Drosophila melanogaster: one gene and its partners. Changing the gene in region 4 together with the main gene of any one other region gives a genetic interaction. Each region holds a gene or a part of one and is shown on either strand. Other genes may lie near its edges.

Evidence for each region.
Region 1: of vn (region 4) and mys, changing one suppresses a phenotype caused by changing the other (phenotypic suppression), as found in Drosophila melanogaster (one study listed by BioGRID).
Region 2: of vn (region 4) and csw, changing one suppresses a phenotype caused by changing the other (phenotypic suppression), as found in Drosophila melanogaster (2 studies listed by BioGRID).
Region 3: of vn (region 4) and ap, changing one suppresses a phenotype caused by changing the other (phenotypic suppression), as found in Drosophila melanogaster (one study listed by BioGRID).

Annotation. Positions count from the first base shown.
Region 1 is NC_004354.4:8,059,691-8,064,667, forward strand, and holds the start of mys (myospheroid), read left to right. Parts: upstream 1-1,954; 5' UTR 1,955-2,035; exon of another isoform or gene 2,036-2,390; intron 2,391-4,149; 5' UTR 4,150-4,267; coding exon 4,268-4,769; intron 4,770-4,842; coding exon 4,843-4,977. UniProt on the Drosophila melanogaster protein: Integrin alpha-PS1/beta-PS is a receptor for laminin. Integrin alpha-PS2/beta-PS is a receptor for Tig, wb and Ten-m. Contributes to endodermal integrity and adhesion between the midgut epithelium and the surrounding visceral muscle.
Region 2 is NC_004354.4:2,100,485-2,105,329, reverse strand, and holds the start of csw (corkscrew), read right to left. Parts: upstream 3,042-4,845; 5' UTR 2,184-3,041; coding exon 1,555-2,183; intron 1-1,554. UniProt on the Drosophila melanogaster protein: Required in all receptor tyrosine kinase signaling pathways. Functions downstream of the receptor tyrosine kinase torso, acting in concert with D-Raf via tailless.
Region 3 is NT_033778.4:5,723,827-5,728,386, forward strand, and holds the start of ap (apterous), read right to left. Parts: upstream 3,007-4,560; 5' UTR 2,034-3,006; coding exon 1,995-2,033; intron 1-1,994. UniProt on the Drosophila melanogaster protein: Required for the normal development of the wing and halter imaginal disks.
Region 4 is NT_037436.4:5,842,638-5,847,339, forward strand, and holds the start of vn (vein), read right to left. Parts: upstream 3,028-4,702; 5' UTR 922-3,027; coding exon 1-921. UniProt on the Drosophila melanogaster protein: Ligand for the EGF receptor. Seems to play a role in the global proliferation of wing disc cells and the larval patterning. Shows a strong synergistic genetic interaction with spi, suggesting a molecular interdependence.

The DNA of each region.
Region 1 (4,977 bases), on a different chromosome or scaffold from region 4:
TTTGCCGGGTTGCTGACCCCTAAGCAAATACTCGAAAACTAGCAGAAAATGCAAAGTGTCCTTGGGGCAAACCGAAGAGGCGCGCTCTTGTGTCGTTTTCCACTGTGCGAAGGTGGGCGGCTAGTGGTGGAGGAGGCGGGGGTAAACGCCACGTGCGCTGCACTTTTTAAACTTACTTTTCCTTTGGATTTTATCGTTCTTCTTTTCTTTTTGTTGTTTCGTTAAATCCACTCGTTCTGTTACTGTTTATTCGCTATTATGGGCGAATATATGTATATATCCGAATGACTTTTGATTTTGGCTTTGTTTATGGCCGCGCTGCCGCTGGATGTTGATTTTGTCTTAGCCAAGTTTAGCTTGTCGGTTTTGTTTGTTGTTGTTGCTGAATTGCGTTGTTGCTATTGTTGCTGAATTTTGAATTGAACATATACAACATACAGATTGTACACGATTGTTAAAAAGTTGCAACTGTAAAAATAAAAACAAAAAATATTGGTCACATCGGGCACTATTTTTTTTCTCGAGATTTTTGGATTTGCGCGCGCCAGAGAATGAGTGTGGCGTAAAGAGAGGGAGAAAGAGTAAAATCCCCAGCGACAAATGTAACGTAACCCACAACGTAAGCGTCTTCTGTACGTCACCACGCTACGTAGGCCACGTAACGGTATGCTAACGTTACCGACGGCGCCGCAAAACCGCAAAATCAAAAAATACAATAACAAAATCGACAAAATTATAGATTTTCAATGTGCACGTCGGTTTCTTTTTGCTAGCGAAAATCAACTAGCGCTAGTATATTTTGCTTTTGTTTTTTCTCATTTCGAGTGAAACTTTTCGCGCGCTTCTGCGTGTGTATTCCTCTTTTTTCGTTTTTTCTTCTTTTATTTGTTAATATTATTCACTTGGTGACTACACACGTTCATGCTCATGCCCCCTCACTCGACACACACACGCACACACACTGACGAACGTTTCTGCTTCTTGCTCCTCTTTCGTTCGCTTTTGTTCCACCACCGAAAAAAATGAAAAAAAAAATTTGTCATGTCCATTGAAGTCTCACATTTTTCAAATGCATTTTTTGGCGCTAAAATCTTATAAATTTCAACATTTTTCCATTCGCATCTGATCCCCCGCAATTAGCACTCCACTTCGAACACAAATTTATATAATTTTTGCCATTTTTTACCACAATTTTTAGTAATTTCTACACACCGATATATACGTACGCGCTACGATTTTTCGACAAACGCGCGAGTTTCTTCTGAGTCGCCATCAAATATACAAAATTTTTTTTCGAAATTACTGAAAATGCGAATACACACGCACACATGGACAGCCGACGGGCACGAGGCGCACGCGCTTGGTACATGCGGCTATGCCGCTCTAACGCACTGCTTTTATTGATAAATCGAGAGCGGGACAGCTAGAGCTACCGGCCGAGAGAGAGCATGTGAGAAGAGCGTTCTGTGCGAGTGTGTGTGATAGAGAGAGCCAGAGAGCAAAGTAGTCACACATACTCTCGCAAACTCATAGTGGCTTTCGTTCTCTCCTTTTCTCAACCATTTGCACGTACTTTTAGCTTTTTCATATGGCTATTTGGGAAATTCACCAGCAGTTTACACTTATGCTGTTGTTAGTTTTAATCCATTTATACTGGTAGAACGTAGATTCGTCGGCTACTTTACATTAATTTCGTAACGTAAGCGCAACAAAAACAAGGCTGTCATCGATATAAGCAGGCGTTTTTGTCTGAAACTATCGTGCAATAAGTGACTCCGATAACCAGAGTTCCTTTACGTGTTTCTCGATTACTTATCGGATTGTGTTTGCGAGCACAAATGTCTCTTTTAGCGGAGACACAGTCCTCCAAAACTGTGCAACACTGTTCCTAGGCTCGGTGTGACCAGAGCTATTTAACAACACTGGCGAACATCGGATGGCAAATATCGAAAGAACATTGACTGTTGTTCCACCCCCTGCTGACACCATCTGGTAACACTGAACAACAGACCAGATCCGCGGACAAAGCAAAGCAGTAAATATTAATTTAATCCAAATCCAATTCCCGACACCAATTGGCGGCCTTCAGCTGCTGCTTCTGCAGTCGAATTGTATTTTTTTTTTTGGTTTTTCGTGTCACCCGATAAGAGTTAAATTCGCTGATCTAGCGAATAACGGTGGCAAGTAATTGTAATAACTGCGTGTGTGCACAGTGCTAGTGTTTAGTGTGCGAGTGTGTGCGTGTGAGTGGGAACTCCACAAGTGTGCGAGAAGGCAAATCAAAATAAGAAAAGTGCCGCCCTGATGGAAATTAATATCGCGAATTATCAGCGAAAACGCAGCGAAAGTTAAGCCAAAGTGCTGCGATTAATCAGATAGCGGGTGAAATAGTGGGTATTACGTAAGAAATCAATGGATTCCGGGCTGCATTTGCCCAAAAAAAGAGGAAGCAATATCGAAGCGCTACTTTTATCTCCTCTTTTTTCGATGATTTCATTCGCAGTGACGACACACAGGCACGCACACACCGAACGCCGTATCTGTGTGTGGGTTGTTTGTTGAGCTAAAAAAAATAATGAATCCTCACGATACATTCACTCGTTTCATTTTTTTTGTTATTATTATTCATCATATTTATTTATTTCTTTGAGTGTGCATATCGGCGACTTCGCGACGCCAATTGCTGATTACGCCCCCTCCCTTTTCAGTGCAACTTCCCCACCCCGGAGATCTTGCACTCGAACTAAAAATCGAGTAGAGTACGTAGGCAGAAGCGAAAAGAGCGTACAAAAATCAAGAGCTCAGTGGCAGCAGCAGGAATTTGTGTTTGTCAGGGGATTGCCCAGATTTTCGGGGTAATTGTCCACTTTATAAACAGCCAACCGAATTTGAAACCAACTGTAACTGGAAGTAAAAACCAATTTTACCAAAGCTATCAAAAAAAAAACAATAAAAAAAATGAAATCCTCTGCGCGCCGCTGGTTTAACCAGTACGCCCACATGTGGGCGGCCCAGATGTGCCTCGTTTTTGGCCCAATGGCTGTGGGCGTCCATCCGTGGTTGAAACTATGCGCTGCAGATGCTGTTTACTCAGGCGGTTTATAGTATTACGAATTTGCTAGCTAAAAAACTGATTAAAACTACTACTAAGTGCACAACTCATAACTTTGATATGCTGTGACTGGGTGTATAAATGATAATCGAATGAAATTATTCAATCCAAGGGTATATAAACATGGGCTTAGTCGTTTTTAGTTTGTTTTCCTTTCGGCACACGATCTGCTGCAAATCAAGCTCTGTGGTGTGTTAGTGTTCGTTGTGTTGTGTGTGCGTGGGCGTTTAAAAATAGCCGACCAACACAACACCCATACGTATACGTAATCTGCAGCCCTTTTTTTTCCGTTCCGTGCATATGGAATTTTGATTTGAGTCTTGAGTGGCTTGGAGTGAGTGATTCATGTGGCTTTAGGCGGAAAGGAAACCCAGCGAAGCTGACTCAATGACCACTCATTGTTCGTTCGGCCTTTGTTTACATTTTGCCAGGAGCCAAGAGAGCGAGAGAGCGTGCTAACGGAACGTGCTCGAATGAGTAATTCGCATTGCATTTGACGTTTATCGAAAGCTCTCTTCCTTCCGCTTTTTTCCTTTTCTTTTCGGAGGCCAACAAAAAAAAACAACAAAAGCACGCAGGCACGCACACCCACACACAAGTTCGTACATCAATCGCTTGGTGTGTGTGTGTGTTTGTGAGATGAGTCATCTGGCCAAGTTGATGAGAAAATAAAATTAAACATTAAGGTAGAGCGAAAGAAACAACAAAAAAAGGGGACAGATGTGCGGCCATTTGCTGTTGTTTGTTGTTGCAATAAAGAAAAAAGCAGGGCACGCGGAGAAAGCAGTGCTCGACAAGCAGTGCAGTCAGCAGCTGGACTTTTACGTACACCGGCGTTCGTAAAAATTGCAGCGAAATCGAAGAAATCAAATTGTGTCTTAAAAATAAATGAAAGATTAAGGCATATAAAAAAAAATAATATAAAATATGTAGCATTAGAAATATAAGTGAACCAGGAATGGCTTTTATAATAATTTCTGCCCCTTACTTAACATCTAGTGCTAAATCCAACAATTTTAATTCACTTACCATTGCAGCCGGCGCACAGAAGCGACAGAGACAGAGCACACACAGCACCTGGCACATCCAAGGATATCCGATCCTCCTGCATCCCGAATCATCCACAACCTGCACCAACCGCTAACCGCCAAAGCCATGATCCTCGAGAGAAACCGGAGGTGCCAGCTGGCCCTCCTCATGATCGCAATACTGGCCGCCATCGCTGGACAAACGGATGCCCAGAAGGCGGCCAAACTGACGGCAGTGAGCACATGTGCATCGAAGGAAAAGTGTCACACCTGCATCCAGACAGAGGGTTGCGCCTGGTGCATGCAGCCGGACTTTAAGGGCCAGTCGCGGTGCTACCAAAACACCAGCTCACTGTGTCCGGAGGAGTTCGCCTACAGTCCGATAACAGTTGAGCAGATTCTAGTGAACAACAAACTAACGAATCAATACAAAGCTGAACTGGCGGCTGGTGGCGGCGGCTCCGCCATGTCCGGCAGCAGCTCAAGCTCCTACTCGTCGAGTTCGAGCTCGTCGAGCTTCTACTCGCAGAGCTCCTCGGGATCCAGTTCCGCCAGCGGATACGAAGAGTACTCTGCCGGCGAAATTGTCCAAATCCAACCGCAGTCCATGCGACTCGCATTGCGCGTCAGTGAGTAGCAAACGATTGCATCATCCATGTGACCTACAAACTAATCCCTTACTTGCTTATCAATACACCTTAGATGAGAAACACAACATCAAGATTAGCTATTCCCAGGCGGAGGGATATCCGGTGGATCTCTACTACTTGATGGATCTCTCCAAATCTATGGAGGACGACAAGGCCAAATTGTCTACGCTGGGCGACAAGTTGTCCG
Region 2 (4,845 bases), on a different chromosome or scaffold from region 4:
CTTTCCACTGAGAGCATCTTGTAGTCGGCCGACGTTATGAATTTGCACAAATTAAACGCTTTTATTTGATCAGTAGCCACAGCTCACGGTTGTGCAACGGACAAATAAACGGAAATATGCAAAACAGAAGGCAGCGCTCGAAATCCATTACGGGAAATGTAATTTCATAAATCGTTAATCAGCCTTATGGCGAGAAGAAAAACCATCGGAAGGTTAATAGTTCTACAAGGCGGAGGGCAGAGGACGGCGGTGCCCCATTGTTGACCTAGTGAGTGTGACAAGTGAAATCCGGAAATCACGCAGCTTAAGCTGTCAAAGCTATTGGCACATCATCTTCAGATCATTTGGCATGATGTGCGTTTTAGGATAACGACGAAAAGATCGCCCTAAAGCAGGATACCTATAAAAGCTGAGCATAAATTAGAAAAACAAAGATCAAGTTAACGAGCCAATCAACACGTTCAGCGATTATGAATCCGTTGCGATAAAAATCAAAATAAATAAATAAGCAACAACCGAAACCGACTGCACTACCAATCCGAGCTCAACTAAAAGTCAAAGATAATTTATGGGACATAATAATAGTCCAGCAGATACATATGCGATTGTTTTCTGGGTGTACTGTGCGAATCGAGATCGCCAAGATGGGGCCAGCCCACACAAACAATCGGACGGCACATGGCACAGCCGGGCAGATAAACACCAAGATCAGACACGGAGTGGGATGGAATCTTTGGGGAATGTGGACGACGGACAGCGCAACAGCGGGACATGGGTAAACATTCCGGGCGCGAGTGAAGAGATAATTCCGATCTGGCAGTGGGCCAAGATACGATGTCTGCAGTGGGCAATTCGCCGAACTCTCCCGGTTCTACAAGTGCGTAATTTAGCCAGTGCCTAACCAATAACTCAATCTTCAGCTCTAAATGAAAGAACCAATATCGAAACACAACTTGACAACGGGCCAATTGTGTGGGGGGGGTTGATATGTTGATATGTGACCATATTTGAGTGGCGATCTGAGCTGGGCCCCCTGCCATTTGCCATTCCACTCCCTTCACTTCACTTCGGCATTTGACAGTCGGAAATTCATTCATATTAGAACGTCAATTTACGATTGCTTGTTTTCGAGTCGAATGCTTTGCGTAAATATTTACTCATTTTGCGTGGCAATTCTGAACACATGACAGTATGTGCTGCGCTGATTTTTTTTTTTTTTTGCTTTGTTGCGGCGTCAACTGCCTGTGATTGCCTGCCTTATTAGGGTTAATGTTGATGGGCAGCAGATTGTCTCCAGATTTCCCGCGAATCATCTGCTACTCCGCGACATGTGACTGACAGGCGGGGCGACATACTACGATGCGATGGTAGCTCAAAATACCATTTCACCTGCTACGGGGTATCGTTTAGTTGGCAGCCTGACAACTTCATTACTCGCACTCCAATAACAATTAGTGCCTAATTTCGCACGCGCCCCAAATTAGCAGAACGCTGCTCTTTTTCTAACACTCTGGACTGGACTGCTGTCGTTTTTTTTGGGCGACCTGAACTTACGTGTAACCATGGAGCTGGACGCGCATGGTGGCCAAGAGGGACAGTGTGCTGTTGGAGCAGCTGGCGCCGCCGAAGGCGGCTGGGAACTGGGGCGGTGTGGCTGTCCAGGAGGTGGGCGTGGCCGGGTAGGAAGCCTGCGGGCTGGGTGTAAGACGGTGCAGAGATTCCGTCGATGTGGAGGCGGAGGCAGCGGCGGAGGGTTGGGCGGAGAGAGGACGACGTCTGCGCTGCAGTCGGTTGTCTCGATTACGTTGCGCGTCAGCGCCCTTGGCCACGCCCTTTATGATCTGGGCCAGCTCGTCGTGGGTCATACAGTTCTTGCAGGCCGGCTCCTGGGCCTCGGGTGTCTCCGTTGGTGGGGTGACCTTTGCTTTCCGACCCTTGCTGGCCTTGAACTTGCCGCTCCTTTCGCGCTCCTCCGAGCGTCTTCCCTTGCTTCCGTAGTGCGCCTGTATGGCTCTTTCGTACTCAAAGTTTCGCTGATTGTTGTAGGCATTGTTGTTGTTTAGCGTATTGTTATTGTTATTGTTGATATTGTTGTTGTTGTAGACTTGTTTCTCTTGCAGCTTGTGATTGACCACATTGCCCAGCGAGCTGGACAACTTTTCCAGACATTTGTTGAACAGCATTTTCTTCACACTCGTTTTCTCGCACACACCAAAACAAAAAGAAGCTTAGATAGTAGTATTCCACTGCGGAAAAATGCGTCTCGGCTGGGGTGTTTTTTTATTATTTTTTTTTTATTTTGTTATTGTTTTTGTTTTATGTAACAACTTGCCCACACACACGAACACACACTGAAAGCACAAAAACTAGAATTCTTGGTTTTTGTTTTTTGCCGCTGTTTGTTGTGCTTCTCTGTTTGCTTTTTATTGATCTTAGTCAGCTCGATTAGGGGAAATGTCTACAGTTTGTCAAATAGAGTGCTGTTTACCCCGCATTCGTTTATTATTGCACAATCTTCTTGAGAGCCAGCAACAGCTTCTTTTCGTACGACTTGACATTGATGGCCTTGGCCACGGTGGTGCTGCTGCTGTTGATGGTGCTGGTGGGTTTGACCTCTGCTGGGGATGCGGCCTGCTCGTCGAGTCGCGATTGTGCCGCCATCAAATGCTCCAGGACAAATGTGGCTGAAGGCATAATTTTCGCGCTTTGCCTTCGAATAACAAAAACACTCGATGGAACTTGTACTGGCGCCCAGTAGAAATGAAACGAACTGCTTGCCGCTCGACGACGAACGGCGACTGCTTGCGAGCTGAGCTGCTAACCCGTTGGATCACAACTCGAGAATGAAGCGCCTGCTGCCGAGTCTGAAGCTTTTTGCCTCGGATTCGAAATCGCAATCGGAATCGAAATCGGATTCTTGACGTTGTCTCAGCGCGGCTCCTCTCTTTGCGATTCGATTCTTCCGCTCTCTCTTAGTGGCTATATCTCTCGGACGGGAGCTGTGGCCTGGTGGTGTTCTAAGCGCTGGGGTATGAATGAATCTGAATCTTGACTGGCTGCGGACGGCGCTTTTTGTTTTTAAATCCAGCCGGCGCTCTGGTTAGCCCTTCCTGTCGATCTCGTGGGTGGGTGTTTTTATTTATGGGCTTTATTTACTGTCAGCGAGCCAGAAGTCACAAACAAATACAAAAAAAAACACAGTAAATAAAACGGAGCGAAAGACGTAACTTTGAAATTGATTGGCAGTGGGTGTGTGCACAGCTTTCCCCTGGGCTCCTGTTTCAGTATCATCAAACTGCTTGGGCCCCTCAGCGGGCGCCACTTAATTGTAGCCATCCTGTGGACGCCACTTACGGTTTATTCAGAAAGCGAAAGCACTTTGAATTGCAATCAACATTGTAAAAAATTACACTTTTACTTTTCATTTACTTTCAATTAAGTGCTAGAGCCAGGCTAATACCTATAAATATGTATAGCGGGCTCCACTCTATGTTTATTTCGTAATGACTGTACTCCTGGATGAGTCATGGAGTTCATCGCAATCAGAATCCGAATCATACACATTTCGAAAAGCAGGCACATAAGATTAATTCCAATCCGAAAATGGTCATTTCGTGATATGAGTGTGTTGTTGGCTTGTAAGAAAGCAAATACAAAAAGCGCTTTTAGCGCCGTCCGTTGCCTGCCACCGGAAATGAAACTGAAGCCGCACAGCAACTACTGTGGCGGCCATCTAGGCAAGGAACTGGGTTTGCTGGGGGGCAGGTGGGTTGGTGGGCAGGTGGGCAGGTTGGTAGTTGGGTAAGTGGGAGCTAGAAGCGAGCAGTGCCAAAGCTCTCTTACAGCGCAGGCGCAGACGTCAGAGGTGCGAACGTGCGCAGAATATCTTTTTTTTTTTTTTGGCCAGCAAAACAAAATCGTTCGACGTGCGACAGCCTGCGAACTGCGATCTAGCAACACTTTACTTCCAGCCTCGTATTCATGCCTCCCAACGATGACGAACTATTTTTTTTTTTTCCAACATTTCGTCATTGTTTTTTCGCTGGAAACCAACTAGAACTTGTTACCCAAACCACATTCAAAATCCACTCAATGGAAATTGTCTCCGAAGTGTTCGATCAAAATTGAAAATGCTCAGCTCAAACCAGTCGGGGAAACCCCATGTAGCTATGCATGCATGCATCAATGCAAACAGGATGTTCCAGGCCAGGTGGACCAGATCCGTGGAAACCACATGGGGCTTCTGGGCGCAGTTAGGTGTCGGTTAAGAATATTAGTCATTGCAATGGCAAATGCAAGACGAGAAGTGCATTAAAAGTGAGTAGAGATGATTTGAGCTACCTGATTGCTATCGATACAGAATTAAGAGCGAGGCCAACATTGGCCATTCGCAAGTTTAAGTTCTTAGAAATGATCGGGTAACGCAATTTAGAAGTGGCATTGACCAATAGCCTACCCAACGTGTTTACATTACGTATGGAATTACTAAAAGTTCCGGCGAAGTAGTGAGTGCCGTGAGTGCCGCCCTACCCAGAAATAAACTTGATCGGTACCAGTTGCCAGAGCGACAGCCCAGTCCCAGTATCCCCAGTGCTCCATTCCTGAGCTCCGCGACCTTGGCTATCCCGATTTCGTTGCTGGAGACCCAGACCGCATTTGGGCACAGCCAAAACCATTCGTAGGTGCGATGGGGAGTGGGCCAGAAATAAACATAATTTATTGTTCAGTCGGAGGCGGGGGATGGTTAGTATGCTAGGCACACAGCTACATATGTGCCGACCACTGATTGTTCGCCACTCCGAATTGGGATTGAGATTGAGATTTGGTCTCGGGACCCAGGGATGG
Region 3 (4,560 bases), on a different chromosome or scaffold from region 4:
AAAATTGAGTTTTGTAACAAACTTAACAATAGGACTTATTGATGTTTCCGATATTTTGATTACGGGCAAATGACAGCTACAAAAAAATGTATTTGAATTCGTTGTCTATTTCTCGCTATTGGATATCGGTTACTCAGCTAGGCAGACTGCGAAAAATAAATTTCAATTTTTTTGCATATCGAAAGAAATTGGAAAAAAAATTAAGACGAATGATAAGTTAGAAAGGGTGTGTTAAAAATTTTCTTGGTATTACAATACATACATAAAACGGAAATATACCAAAACATTTTCATCAAGATGGGCGTGGCCGCTTTGGGCTGTTTGTGCATGTCAAAGAGTTTTTTGGCAAATCGGTAAAAATTTAAAGACTTATAAAACATGAAAAATATCAAAACATATTTCAAAAGCGTATTTCTTGGCGGTTTAAATTTAAATTTTTGTTCATTTTATTCACCGATATCTAACGATATTCCAGCAAAATGATGAAATGTTGCGTTTTCATTCCCACTAGCTGAGTAACGGGTATCTGATAGTTGGGGAACTCGACTTTTATATATAAAAAGAAATGTACAAAAATAAAAATTTGAAAAAAAAAACTCTAAAATTACTTTTATAAAATTTTTAATAGTCCGAATTTAATCAATTTCGTAACTTGATCGATGTGCCGAATTTATCAGGTAAACACATCATCAACACATTTTCGAATACTTTAGGAAGAAAGAATTTTGAGATATGGGAGTTTGTTTTAGTGGACTTGGAAATACTTTAAAACGGCAGTACAATATGAATGTTCAAGACTAGGTTTCAGCTTTTACAATTCCTAAAACGTTTAAAAGGACGGACGGTTGGACGAATAAAAGAACGGACAGGCGGACATGGCCAGATCAACTCGGCTATTGACCTTAATCAAGGATATCCCTTATAAGGGTCGGTAACCCTTCCATCTGTCTGTTACATACTTTTCAACGAATGTTTCATACCATTTTACTCTTCCAATTTATTTACGATTTTCCTATTCTTATACAATACAATCTTATACAATTCTTGTACAATATATAGATGTGGTATATATAGACTAGAATTCGAATACTCGTACATCTCGATTTACAGTAATCGATGACATTTGGAAAACATACAAAAGATGGGAATTAAAACAAACACACAGATTTCAAACACCAAAGTTGTAAAGTAACAAAAAATTGTTTGCATAAAGTATAAGGAATGCGTTATGTTTCAAAATAGGAATAGCAATTAAAAATGACAAAATCAAAAATAGGTAAAAGATGTTCATGTAACTCATCAAGGCAATTCGTTCTTTTCAAAAAAATGGTACAAGAATATCTCTGTGTGGTAGAAAATGCCTTATTCGCGTTAAAAATTAGTATTTGAAGGTCAATTGACTACTATTAAAATATATCAAATTGGTATATATTGGCACACGGTGATTATTCTCTAAAACTGAATACGTTCGCGTCGAATATCAGATATATACAAAAATTTCGTAAAAACGTACATATTTGTTTTACCTGTATTTTGATTTCTACATATCTATTAATTTTTTTGCACGACTATGCCGCCCAATTTGATTGTATATTGATTAGTACGACTATCATCAAAAATCTGCCTTCTTAAACATTAAATGATTCTAACCTAAGTTAGATGAATAAAAATTAAGGCAGGGAATCACATTGAAATTTTGTAACCGCGTTCTACAGCAATGTTTCAACGAGCGAACTAGCCACTGATTGAACACTTCTGGGAACTGTTTTTAATCTGAAATGCCCAAGCGGCTTTCTTATCGATATTGAGTGGGGCTGTCTGTTGATAGGCAAGCTTTCAGTCTGGTATTGATAACTCCGAGTAACCCAGGCTCGGATCAATATTAATCACAAAGGGCAGAGTTTGGGTGAGCTGGGACGGACTGGTGGATGACTTATTTTTTAGTCTTATCGCTGGTAACTTTGGATTTTATGTGCTACGGCGGCAGAACTTACCCAATGCATCACAGGGCGCTCCTCGGTGCAGACGCCCATGTGCGTCTTTTGGAATGACACGAGGTCTATTTCCAAGGATGATGTCCGTCGGTCGTGTTATGTTTGTCGTTGTGTAGGCTGTGCGTTGTGTCTTGCGAGCCTTATGCCTCCTTAAAAGGGCTGCGGTGCTACGTTGGTCTTGGGTAATCCTCTACACCCCGGCTAGATGTGCTATTGGACACTTGACACTGGCCACGATTAGATGCCCGGCTAGGCTCGCCGGTAATAAGTGTGCGCACAACTTGATCTATTACTTTGCGGACATGCATCACTTCGGCGTTGTCTTAGAGATTGACACCATTGGCTTGCCTTTTCTTATTGCACAAACTACGATTTGAATGCCGCTTTTTTTAAACTTTCTCCTTAGCACCAAGGTAATATAAGGAACATAGGGTCACACACTCACTAAAACACTTGACTCGGCGGCAGGTAGGATATTTGTATTGATTAGAAACCGCCCCTGTATCTCGAGCGCAAAGGCGTTTTCGGACCGCTGACGACCACCGGTTAGCGTAAGAAATCTAAAGTTAATTTATGACATTAATTTACGAGACAGCGCGAGAATGGCACATCAGATCCAAATTGAGTGGTAAAGGTCGGCCTTTGTCGGGCTCTTCCTACGACACTCGACGATGCCTGTTACTGATAAGGCATTAGAGACAGAGGCGCGTATGCGTATGCGGCTGTGCTCCCTTGTGTTGTTGTTTATGACCGGGCAGGCGATTACCGATCCAACTTCAGTTTTGTATCCGTTTCGCCAACTCCCTGTTTCTGTGTCGATTCTCCTTCGATCCAGTTCTGGCAAACCGAAACTACAGCCGAGCTCAAGTCAAAACAAAAATCGAATACGCGCACCGCTTCCAAAAACAAAAACCGACTCAAATTCGAAACTCGACTACCGACTTTGGTCTGCAGCTGATCTACTCAAAATCGTGAGGACAACCAGCCGTCGCAGCTGAAAAACTGGGAATGTTTGGACGCTGTGCGAGCGCAGCGCCAGAAGCCAAAAAACTCCACCGCCCCGTTCGCCGTGTGTTTGCGTGCGTGATGTGCGCGCGCCAGTGTGAGTGAGTGCGATGTCGCGCATGAGCTGCCATCCTGCTTGCACACACGCTCATTCCGCAGCTCTCACGTAGTGGCAAATGGCGGCGCTCTCAGCTGATAGCGTCAGTAGCTCGTTCCCGCTCTAGAGCACAGCCAGTAGACGAAGAGGGCGTGGTGTTCTATCCGCGCTCTCGCACCAGCCGAAATCGCCTCCCCACGCACCGCCCACCGGACAGTTGGCCGGCTGCAAAACGTGAATAAGGCAGCGGTAGCAGCAGTCAGGAGGAGTATAAGCTGTGCGCCAGACGCCACATGAATGAGGATGGACTCCAGACTCGAACTGGAAGCTGCGAGCGGAGTCCGTGACAGGAATTCCAACTCGCAGAGGACGAACAGTGGTCTGAGGACGCACAGGGGAACGAACTCTCACACCAGCGGGTCTTCGGTTGACTCTGCTGATTCTTTAGTTGTGTAATGAAAAGATGCATGGTGTCTATATATGCCGTCTTCATGCTGAAAACATCATGCAGAAAAGTTGTAACTAACTTACTGAGAGCTATTTATTGTGTTTTCGTATGCTGACGCTATAAATGTTGAAAGAATATAGGTTCGTTTGACAGGTGTATTTATAATTCTCAACCAGTTCAAACGCTACCAGCACTACGCCCAAGTTGTCGCCTGCTTCCAATAAGAACTGTCATCATAGAACCTTGCTGTCACTTCTCCTTTAATTCCGCACAAGCTTGAAACAAAGTGCACACAAATCTCCAAATGGCTTAGGGAGCAGATTTAACGTTAAATACTTTTATTGCAGTTACAGCTATAAATATTCAGCTTTTGTGGTATGCATTCACTATGATTCCACAAATGTTTGACATTTTGAGTGTTTTGCCGGTTGTAACTTACATATATTTGGCAAGTTTTGGTTGAGGTTACGGTTACATTTTAATAATGTAAAATATTTGCCATTAACTGCAATGCATTTTCAGAATTTCAACCAGCTTACGTTGATTCAATCGTTGAAAAAGAAATTTTTTTAAGTGTAATTGTTAATATACTTCTGCTGTTACATACATAAGTTCGCCGCTGCTTTTTGAACTCTTCGCAGAAAGTTTTAAAACATGTATTACGTATTTGAAATGTTTGTGCGACTTAGCCTTCGCATTTAACTTTATTTTTGGGCAAAATGTTTCACCTCGTTGTTGCTATTGTTGCTTGTTGACTTAAGAGGGCTTTCAAAGAACCCCGGTTAAGTCGGAACTGATTGGGTGGATTGGTTGTGGACGTCGGCACAGATTTTGGGTCCTTATTCCTTACGAATATACACAGCTGAATTCTCATGATTTTAATATTGACAAGAGTAAATGCGAATACATGCAGTATTTTCAGACCATTATAATTGGTACAGTGCCTCATAATAATTTGTTTATAGATTCTTTTAAATTTTACATCTTTTTTTATTGTAAACAGGCCCATCTTACAA
Region 4 (4,702 bases):
CCTGCGCTGCTGCTGCTGCTGCTGGTGCTTGTTGCCGCTCTTGTGCTGACGCTGCTGCTGCTGCTGGCGCTGCTCCTTCTGCTGATCCTGCCGCTGGCGGCGGTGATCGCGCTTGTCCTGCTGCAACTGTTGCCGGTGGCCGGTGCGCTGTTGCTGCCGGCTGCCGTTGGTGTTGCTGCCATCCCGACGACTTCGCGCCGCCTGCTCCGGACTGCGATCCTCTAACATGCTCTCTGGCATCTCGTAGGACTCGATTAGATAGCTCCGCACCGCCGGCCGACTGCTGTAGTTGCTCGGTAATTGCGCTCTGCTCTCTGGCTGATGTGGCAGCTGTGATGGTTGAATGTGGCGACGCATTTTGCTGCTCGCCGCCTCGCTGGGCATGCCATTGTATAATAAATTATATATTTGACTATTGATTAACGTATTTGGAACTTTTTGCATTGACTGCTGCTGCTGCTGTTGCTGCTGCTGCTGCTCTGGCACGGCAGCCACATGTTGCTCCTGCTGAGCGGGTGTACTGCTGCCGGCGTCGAATACTGTTGCTGGCTTTAACTTAACATTGCTACGGCTACTAAGACTATTGCTGTTGAGGCTGAGCAGCCTACTTAAGATATTGTTGTCGATGTTGTTGCTGCTGCTTCTACTGCTGCTGCTACCGCTCTCGGCGGAGCTTTCACTGCTCCCGCTGCCATTATCCGAACTCAGTGGTATATAGTAGCTGCTTTCTTCGGCACTGCCTTCCCATAATCTTGGAAGATGCTGCTGCTGCTGCTGCTGTTGTTGTTGCTGCTGCGTCGTCGCCGACGACGACAACACACATGTGTTTAGTAGCAACATGTAGCTGATAATTAGCAATATCAATGGCATTAGTTGCTTTTTTGTTTTTAGACTCCATTTGCGCAAATGTTGCGCATACATGGCGTCCTCCAAAGTTGTTGCTGCTATTGCCCCGACTTTATGTACAAAATCTCGATAGCGAGTGTTGCTGCTGCGCTTTGCTGCTGCTGCTGCGTATTGCTGCGTGATGCTGCTGCTGCTGCTGCTGCTGCTGCTGCTGCTGCTGCTGGGGGGTTGGTGTGTCCTTTGTCCTTGCAATTTGCCTAAACGTGACAAATGTAAAATTCGCTGCCTCGTCGTTGTGGCTTGTCGTATTTCCGTTTATCCTGCAAATACTTTCGATAGTTTCGTAGCATTTTGAGCGACAGCAGGGGCAAGAGAGAGACGGACTGTTCGAGAGCGAGAGAGAGGGGGATAGTGTATTTCGGACTGGTCTAACACACTGTATGCCTAGCATTAATTTATGAACACTTTGCCGCACTCGATTGTTGCTGTTGCTTTTGATGTTGCTGCTGCTGCTGTTGCTGTTGCTGCTTATTTTGGTGACTCATTTTTGTTATCTGAACAGAATTTCGCCGCGTTTCACTTGAGCGATCGCTAGGAGTCGACGCACGGCCACGCCCCGCTGCACGCCCCCCCCCAAAATTGGACGGGCCTAAGGTCGCGTGGCGTTTGATTTTTCCCCCACTTTTTTCGTAGCGCTTTTCTTCACGAGGCTTTTCACGCGCGCGATCGTTTCGTATCGCCTCGATTCGGGTTCGGATTCGTATTTGTATTCGTATTCGTTTGTGGGGCTCGGATATTCGTACTCGTATTCGTACTCGTATTCGGCTTTAACTTCGGCTGCCGCTCCTGCTGCTGCTGTTGCGTTTGCTGCTCTTGTAATTGTAATCCTCGGCGCCAGATATACGATAATGTTTGTCTGGCCGTATACGCGATCTCTCGCCTATATAGCCGTAGTCGCACCCGTAGTCGTAGCCGTAGTCTGATTCACGAGTCGTCTTTTCTGGCACACACACCGCTGCAGATCTCTGATCTCTGATGACGACGACGACGATGATGATGGGGATGGCGATGATGATGATGATGATGGTGGATATTGGACGGCGGATGGTGTACGGCGATGATGATGTGCGATATAGCAGACGCGGACACTCTCGCGTATCTCACGGATACGGATACACGGACGGGGCACACACAACACACACGTCTTCTAATTTTAGACAAAAGTAATTATAAAAGAAAAAACAGAGCAGAGTGCGCCGCGTTCAGCTTATACGCATATATATCTTCTACTTTGGCTTTGGCTAGATATATGTGCAATACATATATACCCGCATCTGCTGATGTATTTGTGCACCTTTTCGATGTCTGCGTGCTCACTAGCCGATTATATAGAAAAGTCGTCGCAACAGTCGGCTCTAGATAAATATATATATTTTTTGTGCATATATATATGCAACATGGGAACGCACACAATCACACGCGCTGGCACGAGAAGCGATCGTTTTTGTTTTATATATCTGTGCGTATATATATGTCTATGTGATAAGTACATATACCAAGTGCAGGCAGAAGTTGTTGCTTCAGGAGAGCCAAAATCTATGAAGATGCCCCGGCTGTTGTTGCACTGTTGTTGTTTTTATTATTATAGTTGCCACTGCTGTTTTTTTTTTATTTCATTCATTCCGCAAAAAGTCCGCTTTGCCGGGGAAAATCAGCAATTGCACACGCTTAATGAAACCGAAAGTCCTTTTACACGTTCGATCGATTTGTGTTGTTCGATTTGCTTGGTGGGTCACTTCGGTTACTCCAGCTGATGAAATTCGCTGGGAACTTTTATTCTTGAATATTAATAAATCAACGATTTTTCACACAGAATTTCACTGATTTCAAAACACTCCACTCGGATCTGCAGTTGTCTGGCTGATCTTTTATCAACGCCCTCAGTGAGTATCTGAACAATAATAATATTTGGCTATCTTACGGATTGCCGACAATCGCGCGCCCGTTCCGTTGCCGTCGAATGGTTTCTGCGGACTGTCGGTGGAAACTAACTGATTGTGTATGTTGGTTTAAAATTATTCTTTTCTCTGCTCCTAACACAGGCGGAATTTCGTATAATTCTTTTTTTATTTGGACGAACTCGCTCTACGGAGCGGCACAGGTCTGCTCGATTTGACGCCGCGAAAACGACTCAAACGTATCTCACCGATGCAGAGCAGAGTTGTAGCATTCACAACGTATCTCACGGATACAACTCAAACGTATCTCACGACTCAAACGTATCTCACTGGTCGGAATTTGTTCGACTGCGTTCGGCCGTGTTCGAATATCTTCGGCACGCTCATTTCGCTCAAACGTTGAGTGTTTTCTCCAACGTTTTCTTCTCACAGCAACGCCAGCATTTTCTCAACCCTGCAGTTTTCTCTCAACAATTTCGGGTGATCCAATTCATTACTTTATATCAATTACTTAAAGGCGATTTGTGGTTAACAATTGGGATATTTAATATGGAACATCAAGGAGGGCACGAGACCTTTACTTATTCGTCTCTAAAAGTATGCTTCACAATATGCTAATTTCTTTAGAGATTGCTCTAAAATTCTTTAAGTCTATAATGTCCTTTTTTTTTCAAATTTAGGGTATTAAAATATATTTTGTAAATCCGATTTACTCTCTCGCTCTCTCGAAAAATCCCTCTATTCCTCTGCTGCAAGGATAATTTCTTACCGTAATAAGTCGATACGATATATGCTAGAAAAACAACGTATTAAAAAAATATCGTCGTTACTCGTTAAAATGAAAACCGAACTAGGAGGGAAATCGAACCCGTTGACGATTAAATAGGTGTCTAACGACAATATTATCAATCCAATAGATAAAAATAGATAAGAGGACAGTTGTCATTGGCTTTTGCTCCGATTTCCAATAAGTTACTCATAATCGTCGAGCTTCTGATAGGCTGCTATAAATGAGTTCCAGTCTGAGGGTCTTTAAAAATTATTGCTCATACGCAAAAAGTTCAAGTCCTAGCTCAATGAGTCATTCCAAGTAATTGAATGAATGATGTGCGCTTATGCTGCATTTGAATAAGTTAAATGTACTGTCGGCGATCTTATCTAGTTCAAGAAAGTTTGGATTCATAACTAATCTTAGTTATCATTACAGAGCTGTAACTTTTTAACAATTTGCCTAAAAGCAATGAGCAATTTGTTAACAAAATTGTGAGCAAGAGACATAATTTTTTCTATTTATTGCTAATCGATCGATCACAATATGAGACCCTTACATAACTCGTCAATCTTAATTTAGTTTTGCTTTCATCCAACAGCTCTTAACTCAACGCTTTCGTTTGTTTTGACTACGGTTCCGGATTTCCTCCCGTTTTTGATATTTTCTTATGATGACTGCGGCGGCGAGTTGTCGTTCTTCTGGGGGCTCAGCTTTTTTCCCATGATTATTTGCTTTATTGTCAAATGTCAAGCCCACAACAGCGACTACAGAAAAAACAAAATGCGGCAGGTGATTCCGTCCAGCGCTTGGAAGTCGTGTAAACTTAACGTTTTTTTTTTTTTTTTTGTTTCTTACTTGCCCCAGCTGCTGATGTTTCACTCGCTGTTGTTGTTATTGTCAAACAAAGCTTCCACTTGTTCTACGCACTGCGCATAACAATAAAAGAAGCTGACAGAAGAAAAAAAAAATAAAAGAGAAAAAGCATAAAAGGGGAGCTTAGGTGGGGCGGCAGTGGTGTGGTGACAAGTGCGACAATTGTAAGAAAAGCCAGAAGCAAAGAAGGGTTCAAAGTCGGCCACTTGTGACGGAGCTGGGCCAACTTGGTCTACGTCATTGCCAGTTTCTG